Linked DNA regions of Caenorhabditis elegans. The protein of the gene in region 3 interacts with the protein of the main gene of each other region in a pairwise test. Each region holds a gene or a part of one and is shown on either strand. Other genes may lie near its edges. The genes, in order: F09F7.5, ZK792.4 and ccm-3.

What was found.
Region 1: the proteins of ccm-3 (region 3) and F09F7.5 interact in a two-hybrid assay, tested with the Caenorhabditis elegans proteins (one large-scale study listed by BioGRID).
Region 2: the proteins of ccm-3 (region 3) and ZK792.4 interact in a two-hybrid assay, tested with the Caenorhabditis elegans proteins (one large-scale study listed by BioGRID).

What each region holds. Positions count from the first base shown.
Region 1 is NC_003281.10:5,545,129-5,548,884, forward strand, and holds the start of F09F7.5 (CRIB domain-containing protein), read left to right. Parts: upstream 1-1,981; 5' UTR 1,982-2,003; coding exon 2,004-2,089; intron 2,090-3,044; coding exon 3,045-3,131; intron 3,132-3,185; coding exon 3,186-3,249; intron 3,250-3,297; coding exon 3,298-3,467; intron 3,468-3,619; coding exon 3,620-3,703; intron 3,704-3,750; coding exon 3,751-3,756. Other genes in the region: putative kinase-like protein D1044.1, read left to right, coding at 1-6, 330-524, 598-710, 852-1,098.
Region 2 is NC_003282.8:11,679,896-11,683,651, reverse strand, and holds the start of ZK792.4 (ANK_REP_REGION domain-containing protein), read left to right. Parts: upstream 1-1,646; 5' UTR 1,647-1,661; coding exon 1,662-1,702; intron 1,703-1,747; coding exon 1,748-1,864; intron 1,865-2,031; exon of another isoform or gene 2,032-2,181; intron 2,182-2,611; coding exon 2,612-2,701; intron 2,702-2,717; exon of another isoform or gene 2,718-2,851; coding exon 2,852-2,937; intron 2,938-3,432; coding exon 3,433-3,756.
Region 3 is NC_003280.10:10,605,184-10,608,939, reverse strand, and holds ccm-3 (Programmed cell death protein 10 homolog), read left to right. Parts: upstream 1-1,664; 5' UTR 1,665-1,674; coding exon 1,675-1,748; intron 1,749-1,804; coding exon 1,805-1,847; intron 1,848-1,929; coding exon 1,930-2,129; intron 2,130-2,184; coding exon 2,185-2,434; intron 2,435-2,734; coding exon 2,735-2,815; 3' UTR 2,816-3,223; downstream 3,224-3,756. Other genes in the region: taf-13 (Transcription initiation factor TFIID subunit 13), read left to right, coding at 3,338-3,469, 3,608-3,756. UniProt on the Caenorhabditis elegans protein: Involved in excretory canal elongation during postembryonic development. Plays a role in promoting Golgi stability, ER integrity and vesicle transport probably by regulating the activation of Rho GTPase cdc-42. Involved in fertility.

The DNA.
Region 1 (3,756 bases), on a different chromosome or scaffold from region 3:
ATGTTGGTGAGTTTTGAGCGGTAGGGAGGCAGGCACGAGATATTCAAATAGGCCTGAAAATGTGCCTGTCTGCCAGTGAAGCCCTAGGTATAGTAAGAAATAAAAAAAAAAGAGTATATTGCAATCGATTGCAATCTGGGCACATCTTTTCAAATTTCGAATTTAAAATTGGGCACATCTCTTTGATGGCCGCGAAAATTGGTGGCCGAATATTTTTGGAACTTATTGGAAATTGACTTTTCACAACAACCCGTAAATATGGTGTATGGTGTTTTGCTTACCTGAAAACCAGAGCGGCTCTTTCTCACGCTTCAGAATCAAAATTCCAGCACAACGACACCCTTGATTTTGAAAAGTTATGCCCGGCGGAGCTCTCCGGAAGAATTCAAGAAGTTAAGCATGCTTTTGATGAAGATGGAGTTAGAAATTCCGAAAAGAAAAACGAAAAACTTGGAATGCCATTGGTGATATGTCATAATGATTTGAACGCGTCAAATGTTCTATGGAATAATGAAACTGGAAAGGTAGAGTTGTCCAAGAGGACTACGTGTCATAGAATATAAAATTACTCCTAATAATAAAATTGAATAATTTCAGATCCAGGCATTTATCGATTTCCAGCACGTGTCAAAGGGTCCCGTCTCCTTTGATATTATTCGTATTTTGTGCCTTGGATTGTCAGTGGAAAATCGAAGAGCAAATACTCAAAGGTATCTTTTTCTAAGTCTAAACATTTTCAATAACCGAAAGAAGTAAAAATTGAAATGGCCCGCTTTTTGGCCGAGATTTGAAAATCGGGTTCGGAGATATAAAACACATTTCAAAACAAAGAGTCAGTTTCCATTTTCCAGATACCTGAACCACTACTATACGACCTTCAAATCTCATTTTTCCACGGCTCCCTTCACTTTCTCCCAACTCGAAGAATCCTATCGAACTCACTTCAATTTTGTGAATGCCACGTCACTATTCAGTCTGTCGTATTACTACAAAATGTATAAGGATGAGAGTTTGGATTTGAAAAGTGGAGCTGACGAAAGGGAACACAAAGCTCAGGAGATTTTGAGACGGACTATCGGAATTTTGGATGATATGTAATAGAAGAATATTTTTTAAAGATTTTTATATTATACATTAAAACAAATAAACTACTACTAATATTTGGAATTTTTTAAATTTTGATGATGAACAAAGTTGCTTAAAACATTATTTCAAATATGACAACACATTTTAAATTCTTTACGAAACAAAAATAATCCTAGTAAATCTTCGGTAATACATTAAAAACATCAAAGGTTTCGTAAATCAATGTTAAACAAATTGCGAAATATCGTCCGACTTGCAGTCAAACACTAGAGTATACATATACATAATACCCTTCCGTAACCCGGTTTTTAGCCTCAAGAGATTACTCATCAGATCGACACATGTTTTCTTTTTTCACTTCAACATGCTGCGTCTCTTGTCAATTTGATCTGAGTAATCTATGGGAGATCAGCAAGAACAATTTGCTATTTGCTAGAAATTGATAACACTTTTTGAAATATTTGAAAGGTAGTTTCTATGCTAGATTTTTCTATGTTAATCTGAATTTTAACATTTTTCAATTGATTTTATGCAGTACCTGAAAGTGGTCAAAATTTTGGAGCCATCGAACGACGCTTCAATATTCCGCCATGCTACAAAACTCAAGATTCCTTACAAGCGTCTTTGGGCGGAGCTTGAGCACGGGTGTCATTGGAGCTTCAAACTTCTTGGCTTCCAATTCCAAATGAATCATTCTTTCAACACATCACCTCCTTCTCAATAATTCCTTATCACTACTCTTTTTCCAACTGCTTACACGTTTTTATCGGTTATTTCTCTATTCCCCTTTCTCTCTCAGTTACTCCGGGTGTCTGTTCTCCACAGTTTTTGCAACAACTTGCGTGGTTTGACCATTGATTTTTTTTGCCTCTTGTTACTTTATTCTTGATTTAAGACAGGAACCGGGTTTATGGAAAATGCCCAACGACTTGCCGTTGCTGCCTCCGAAGAATCAGCACAAACACTTGGATAAAACTATGATCTCACTGCCGTCGGATTTCAGGTAAGGAATAAAAGTTGAGGATGTTATGTTAATCCGTACATTCGAATTGGAATGTATCTGCAAATTCGTTCTTGAAGAACATTAGTAGGTTAGCTTCAAGCGGGATTATGACATGTCGACGTTTTAGGCCCGAGAAAGAAGCGGAGTTCTTGCACTCTCCCCTCCCCCACACTCTCTAACCAACCCATTTTTACAGTGTAATAACTTTCATCAAGATTTAGCCAATAGCTGATTGATTGTGCTGATTGTGCTTTTTTTAATTGATATAACATTTAGAAATGAGGAACATTTAGAAACATGAACAGTTTATTCAAAAATATTAGGCTTACAACACTCTACACTTATCTCATTACAACATTCTTTTATTATCATATTGACATCCATAGACTGAAATTCCAAGTTTTAGAAATCAGAAACCTTGGAAACAAAACTTACCATTTTGCTAGGTAATTTAGCTGACACAGCTGGAACCGCCAACAATTCAGTCATGAAAATAATCAGTGATAGAAACAATAATGCAAAACTAGCATACATGTCAACTATGAATATTAAGTTTAAAATTGTTATGTAGTACCTAATCACACGTGGACTAGCAACAATTGATAAAACATTGTTATATATTATAGGTACCAAGCGTTAAATCTTACACTATGGGCTATTGTCGTAAAAAATAAAATAAAATAATACAAATCACGTTACCTGAAATTTTTTAAATTCTCAATTTTTTCGCAATTCGCCATTTTAATTGTTTAAAAAGATATGAGAGGAGGAGAGTTAAGACACTCAGCTTCTCTGTACTCTCCCGTGCCTCCATACGTCTAAAACTTACAATTTTCATACGAATTAGTTTCTTACAATTAGTAGATTCGGAGACGAATTAGTTACATTCGTATTAGTTTTACTCATTGTGTTTTAGGTTTTAAACAATCTATCATAGTCAATTTTTATATTACAGGCATTTGGCTCATGTCGGTCCAATGGGATCATCGGAAATTGAAAATCTTCGGACGAGCGATAATGTGATTGATACGGTTAATGAAAGGTTTGTGATCTACAAGCATTACTTGAATTCAATGTGGATGAATAAAGAATTCAGCAGCTACTACATAAGACCCTCCTCGTCGAATAGTACACTCCGATCGCAGAGAAAAGAAAAAGATGTAGGGAACTATTTAATTACTTTTCTCCAAAAAAGTTCAACTTTTCAGAGAGTTGGACTAGATGATGCTTTCCCATCAGCTTCAAAAAGTGAAGAAGAGGTTGAAGTTGTCAGAGGTTACGAGAATCAACCAACATCCCACCAATACATAAATATTGCTCCACCACGTCCGAGCAAGAAAAATTATAAGGCTCCAGCTCCCCCTACTCCTCCTCCACAGTGAGTATTTGTATGACATTTTCTAACAACACAGTTTTTGAATTAGTTTTTTACCTCAATTCCAAGAAGTACTTCCTTTAGAATTAAGTTTCTTACTGGCGCTTTCAAATTTGACAACTGAATCAAAAGTTGGTTGAGAATTAAACTTTCAGGAACAGCAAGCCGAATTTGATCTTCAACGCCCAAGACGACGAGGAGGAAACATCAGAAATCTCAGAGCAACCTGTAGTTTTTCGGTATTTCTTGATTGGACCCTGAAGTTTAAAAATTTTTCAATTTTCAGGTCAAT
Region 2 (3,756 bases), on a different chromosome or scaffold from region 3:
GTGAAACTCTTCAATTCGAGTCTGAAATATAGTTAAAGTTTAGCTTGATCTTTTTCACCCTTGGTCACAGTTCCTCGGCTCGGACGTAGCTTAAGTTAAAGGCCAGTAGGAGCACCACCCTTACTTCCAGTTCTGGAGTGCATATGGCTTGAGGAACGCATTATTATCCTTATTTTTAGATTTTAGATTTATTTGAAGGTGTTAAAAGGTGTGTTTTCAACTGAAAAATATTTATTATTTCTTTTTTCTACAGTTTGGTTGTGAAATACTTTTTGCTCATTTCTAAATAAAATGTGCTATTAATGTAAGGTAAATTTTCAATACATGGTGCATCGTTAACTACCACTTCTAAGGTTTGAACGCTGATATCTCGAGTTTCTTTTGTTGTATGAAAAAATATGTCGACTGAAAAGTTTATATATATATATATTCTTAGAGTACATTCCAGATAGAATACACTTGGAAAAAATTCAGAACTGTGCAAACAATATTCAAAGAAATTTTTTTCTGACAAGTCTTTTAGATAGATATTTCACATCAATGTTCAATTTTTAAAGTCAAGTATATTTCAAATTTACCATAAATAAGTTCTTGATTTTCCTCAAAAAAATATATTTTCGTCTGATTTGTGCTCAAAACTGTGTTTATTTGAAGTTGCTCAATATTTGTAAGTCTTTTCTTGTGTCGCGCATGTCAACAGAGACACATTCCCTCTCAAACAGTAATTCGGTTTAGTACTCTTCTATTCCACTTTTTCATTTTTTTGTCTGTGCACGTTCCAATTCGTTCACTTTTTGTGCTCGTTTGTGCACATTCAAGAGTGAGTCCTTGATACAAAACTTTTGTCGAAAGTAGTACTTTTACAAGTAATACAGGACTAGTTACTTGTTTAGTCTGAAATATTTGTCGCTTTTTCAACTTTCTGCTTACCGCCTGATTATTGATTACAAAGAATCACAATTTTGAGTCGTCTTAAATAATCCAACCTGCGAAAATCTTAAGTTTAATGGTGAAGTAGCGTCAGTTGGCAGTTTGCTAAAAATACAGAACAGTGGTTTAAAAGTTTATTTAATTGAAACAATCGAAGATGCTTTAGAATTTTCCAAACTTGTCAGCCAAAGTTTTTGCAAATTGTTAAATTTTCAAAGATTTTTTTTTGAGAAATTTCTAGCAAGCTTGCATGTTCGAAGCCCTACTGTTACTGTTTGTTACATACAATTTAAAAATTAATAAAATATAAAAGGTTTTTTATGTAAAATTATGATATATCAATGTGTGACAGCCATTTTCGACTTGTAAATTTTTGTAAATTGAGTTGTGGAGTAAATTGTAAAGTAAGATTGTAAATAGAAATATTAAAAAAACACTGATTTATGTTTTTTTTTAATTTAAAAATTTCTATTTTTTCTATTGTATTTTATTTTCCCGGAGAGTGTGAATTAAAAAAACAGTTTACTTGGCACTGCCTTGCCGTTTGGCTCTTTGATCTTATTTTTTAAGACTAGATAGACTTTGAAATATTGAAATCCAATCTCATCAAGTACAAAAGATCGAACAAATATTCGTTTCGCGCTCTTTTCACGTTTCCTCGCATTTCAATTGACAGGTTATTTAATCATTAATGATCAATCACATTTTAATTTCAGAATTCCAAAGTTTCAATGTCATCAGAACGTAGTGGTCCCAATGGATCATTGGAAGAGTAAGAACACTTATGAAATATGTTTAACAAAAATGTGTATTTCAGTAACGGTGACTATTTGCCATTAGAAGTAATTGGTGAGGAAAATTCTTTAGATGAGAATCATGTGTGTGAAGATGTAATTATGTCAATTACAAATAAGCATGTGCAATGTTTGGCGAGGTATGTAATTTAGTTACTTTTGCTCTCATGCTCCACGTTTAACTTTTTGTTCATTATAGAAATATGATTTCAGAACTATAAAAAAAAATTTCAAACAAAATTTTGAACTTTTATGACAGTTTGAAGACTCGATTTTCTGAGTGGGTCTCACCACGATCTCAGTCATTGAAGCTTCTAAAGATGCCAAAATTTATTTCATTTCTCGCTAGTTTCTTGCCCAAGTTTGGCCTAAAAAGTATTAAGGCAAATGTTGGGCAAAATTTTGGCAAGCCTAGGTTTAGCGGCACCCAAGTTACCGTATATTCTCTATTAGTGCTGCATGCATCACTAATTTCAGGCCCTTTTTTAATGCAGCACTATTAGAGACTGCAGTACTACTGGAGACTGCAGCATTAATTTTCGAACGGCTATTTTCAATTATAGATCACTAGTTTTTAGTCCCAAAAACTCATTTTTAAGCAGAAATTCATAAAAATTGCGAACTTTTGTAACAAAAAAACCCAATAATTCAATTACTTATTATCAAAAAATCATCAAAAATATACAAAAAAAACCAAAAATATCGAAACTGTCAAGTAACTCTTTCAATAGAAAATGGGGTGCAGCACTAATAGAGACTGCAGCACTATTTTTCGGACCCTTTTTGAATGCAGCACTATTAGAGACTGCAGTACTACTGGAGATACAGCACTAATAGAGAATATACGGTATGTTTGAACGACAGACTTTCAAATGTTTAAATTCCAGATTTTCGAACAATGACCTGCTTGCCAAGGACACTATCGGTCAAAATGCTCTTCACATGGCAGCCCGGGTTGGAAATTTGAACATTTTGAAGTGAGTGTAAAGATGCAGATGAAGGAGGGCAATTGAGTGCTTTTCCCTTCCGGCAGATCAGCTCGGAATTGATATGCGTTGGAAGGGGAGATGGAAGAGCAAACAAAAAGAGAAATCAGGTCATTGACGAGAGATTGAGATTTTTTGCAGGTACTTACTGGACAGACTTCCCGAGCTTAGGGACATCCAGTCGACGAATGGTGAAACTGCAGCACACATCTCGGCTGCTCATGGAGGTATTGAGAAGGGGATTCTGAGTTGGAAATGTTGGGAAGGGAGCCTTCTAATCTTATAATGAAGACCTCAAAAAACTTTTTTTTGGACGAGCCAGTTTTTGCGCTTTTCTCAATTTATGGGTGTAAATTACAGAAAACTTTAGATTGAAGAAATTTTCAGCAGCTTTCCATGTGAATGTAGCTCAAATTTGAAGATTTTCAAGTGAAAAAAAAAACCAAAAGGTTTTATTCATACAATTCTCGCCAAAAAGTTTGTGATGAAAATATTTAATTTTTAATTTTTAAATTTGGCTTTGAATAAAGAACAATGGGGAACAAAAGAGTGAAATCCGCGAGCCTTTGAGTAATCTGTTCTAAAAATTCCGAAATTACCATAAAACAAATTTAAAATCTCAATAGCCCTGGCGTATTTGATTTAATAGTTATCCACAATGAAACCTTAAAAATTGTTTCTAAAAAGATAAAATTACTGATTTTGAAATACAATTTTCCTAGATATGCGAGCACTTGAAATTCTTCTTGGCGGCTCCCTAAAATCGACAATGAATTGTGCAATGACCCGTGACGTCAACGGAACATCCATTCTTATGGCCGCAACTGCTCGTGGTGACACTGACATGAGCATCTGGTTGCTCAGAAAATTTGGAAAAGCACTTGCACTTCTCGATAATAACTGCAAAATGCTACCAGTTCATGTGGCAGCTGCACAAGGAAATATTGAGTTTCTTCGTGCCGCAATCAAGTTTGATAATCAAATGGTAAATGCAAGAGATGAATTTGGGTGTACTCCATGTGTATATGCTGTGCAAGGTGGATGTC
Region 3 (3,756 bases):
TATGCCTTTGACCATATATTAATACCAAATACAAAAAAAAAAGATGAAACTCGGTCAGAGAACAGAATTATCACAGGAAATGAGATTTCCTGATTGGGAGTCTATACCTTGAATGTACATGTTCGCAATTTTATTACCTATTTTTTGGAATGGGAACTGGTTTTTTCTCGAAACCTTTGACCAAAGGAAACATCTAGAAAAATGAAATCAGCACATTTTTTGAGAGCAATTTAGAAAAGAAAAGACAATAAAATGAAACAAATTTCAATGTTTTTTTCTCGACTCTATTGTTAATATACTCTGAAGCGTAACAAAGGTGTGAATAGTGGATCTCCTATTGATCGGCAGGAATGACACGGAAGATGAGACGGACAGCCGGGAGAAAAAAGATATTACGGAAGATTTTGAGACGCAGATTGATGGGAATTGGACTTGTGACTTCTTGTTTTCCGGAGATTCTTTACTATATCATAATTTTATTGACAGATATCCTTCACTGGTGGGCTGAAAATATAATAGAGTCCCCAGAAATACGGCACCGGGTCTCGTCGCGAAACACCATCATTAAATAGAAAAGTGAGTGTGCCTTTAGAGATTACTGTAATTTCTTTTTATTGATTTACGAAAAAATAATTTTCCACTAATTTTTCGATGAAGAACTTTTTATTTTTCGAAAAGTTTACAAAAAAAACTTTAATACATCCACTGAAACAAAAATTTGAAGTTACAGTACTCTTTAAAGGCACACACCTTTTTGTGTGCGAAAATTTGACGAGACCTGCTACCGTATTCTTTGGGAAAAATCATGAAATTTATCTGGCCAGATCTGGACAATTATAATTAAAAAAATATATTTTCAGGAAAATCTGATTGAATATTGGAAATCGTTGTTTATTCTCAGAGATTATTATTTGCAAAATCTGCATTTATATGTCTAAATAACACTAGCTAGTGCACTAGGCTAAAAATTGAAAGATTCATTATTTCAAAATTTGCAAAATTTTACCTCCACCGAGGTCTGAGTTGAGTAAAAACATTTTGTTCACATTTTCGCGATTGAATTGATTATTTAAAAAATTAAGCACTAATAAAATATATTTTTAACGTCGAATATTAAAATTTTTCCAAGAACTTTGTTCTCCAGAATTGTTCATCTCGAAATCTGCAGCATCTCTGGTGCCAGCAAGTGCGCTCCAATGCGAACATTTCATTTAAATTTTTTTTTTTTCGTTCTTTTTTTAACAGATTTTATCAATTTTTTGCGATTTTCATTATTTTTTCAAGTAAAAAACATATTTAATGTTATTTCTTATATTTCACAATATTAATTCAACTATTAAAAAACAATTGCATCGATTTCTGGGTGGGTTATCATGCGAAACCGATAAAAACCGTTATTATTATTATTATAATGACTCATAAGTTTCTCCAAGGAATTCGAATTCTGCTTTCACATTCCTTTCCGACCGTTCACTTTCTTCCTATATTTACTCTCCTCGTTTTCCTCTGTATTTCTCCAACTTTTCGCCTTATTATCTGCGTCTCTCTCCGCTTTTGATTTCTGTATGTATTTGCGATGCAAATCGATCGTATGCGGGTTTTTCCTTTTTTAACACAGCTTTCTCCTCTTAAAATTCACTCAAAAATCATGATTTTCATTTCAGCAGTTTCACAATGAACGAAGAGGGTGGATATCTTGGAGCGATGACATATCAATGCCTGTACAGTCCTGTGATGGAAAAAATTAAGTGGGTTTCAAGAAATATCAGTTTTTAAACATAATAATTTAAAAAATATATTTTAGACAGCAACATCGTGATGATCCAAGAGCTTCTCTCGCCCTAAACGTAAGCTATTCTATATAAGAATATTTTCTATGAATTTTATACTGTTAAACGAAAAAAAATAAATTAACAAAGAATTATTCAGAAACTGCACACTGCACTGACCACTTGTGAACAAGCTTCTCCGTCGTTTCTCTATGATTTCACAAAAGTTTTGCTGGATGACTCGGAATTGAGCGTTAATCTGCAGGAATCCTATCTGAGAATGCATGACACCTCGCCGACAAATGATTTGATTGTCAGTGGATATGAGCAGAATGCTGATTATAAAGAGCTCACGAAACGGTAATCAAATTAGATAATTTTTTTCAAAATTCCTGGCGTACGAAAAAAATTACAGAGCAATCGAGCTTCGTCGTGTTCTGTCCCGGGTTCCCGAAGAAATGTCGGATCGTCACGCCTTCCTGGAGACCATCAAGCTCATCGCATCATCAATCAAGAAACTTCTTGAGGCAATAAACGCCGTCTACAGAATTGTTCCACTCACTGCGCAGCCGGCCGTTGAGAAACGTAAACGGGAATTTGTGCACTACTCGAAAAGATTCAGTAACACTTTGAAGACGTATTTTAAAGATCAGAATGCAAATCAGGTTCGTGGGAAAAAATGTGCTTTTTTACTTAAATGCGTCGAAATTTGTCCTTGACTCCGAATATCTATGTGAAAAATTCAAAAGCCCCGGTTTTTCTGGGAAAAAATTCGCACTGAAATATAAAATCAGGGAGATTTTTTTTTAATTTTTTCACATCGATATTCGGCAAATTTGGACTTTTTTTTAAAATAAAAACCTGTAAATTTTCCCCAAATCTTGGGAAAATCAAACTAAATTCTTGAATAATATTAAAATCCATTTTTTTAAAACAAATTCTGAGCCTAAATTCAATGTTTGCAGGTATCCGTGTCCGCCAACCAACTGGTTTTCCAAACGACAATGATAGTCCGCACAATCAACGAAAAACTTCGCCGAGGATAAGCTCACCCATATGGCGGCTTATAACTGTGATCTACTAGACGGCTCTTTCCTTTTGCATGTGTTTTACTTTCATTTTTTGTTCACTTAATTTCTTGTTCTCATCCACACACTCATCACTTTATACATCGGATCTGCACACTTTCTTCTTTCTATGATTTTTCCTTTCCCAATTTTCTGTTTATTGACTGAAATTTTAGGAAAATGATTAACGTATTATGCTTTATATGGTTTTTCGGATTTTTTTCACTTCAAAAATATTGTAATAAGTAGCTCAATTATCATTCTTCCTTTCTTTTTCATGTGCCTTTCTTTGATTTTTCCTCGTTTTTTCACCCACTGATGTACTAGATTTTTTTCCATAAGTCGGTTTCTTCTCCAAATAACGTGATAAATTATTCAGAAATTTTTAATATTTTAATTGACTGTATTGCAATTCTTGTTGTCGAAAACTTATTATATATCTAATTAACTTCACTTTAAAAAATTTCAGACCAATTTTAAATTAATTTCAGAATTTAAAAAATGGATGACGAAGAGGATCTGTTCGGCTCGGATGCCGAAGATGACAAGGAGAAGGTGGTAAATCCGGAGGATAAGAAGCACGTGCTGAGACGAGATTTGAGATCAATGGTCTATGGCTTTGGAGATGATAAGGTTGGTAACAGGGCTGTGCAACTTTTTGAATCAAAATTTATTTGCATTTCTATAACAAATTAAAAAGAAATTAAATGAGCGGTTTTTCTAAGATTCCGATTGATAATTTCCTGAATTGTTTATAAATAAATGTTTCAGGAGCCATACGACAAGACCCTGGACACTCTTGAGGCCATTGTCCTAAACTACATCAAAGAGTTATGCCAACTGGCGATGAAAGTTGGAAAACCGGATAAAATGGCACTTGAGGACATTCACTATCTGATTCGTCGTGATCCGAAGAAGTT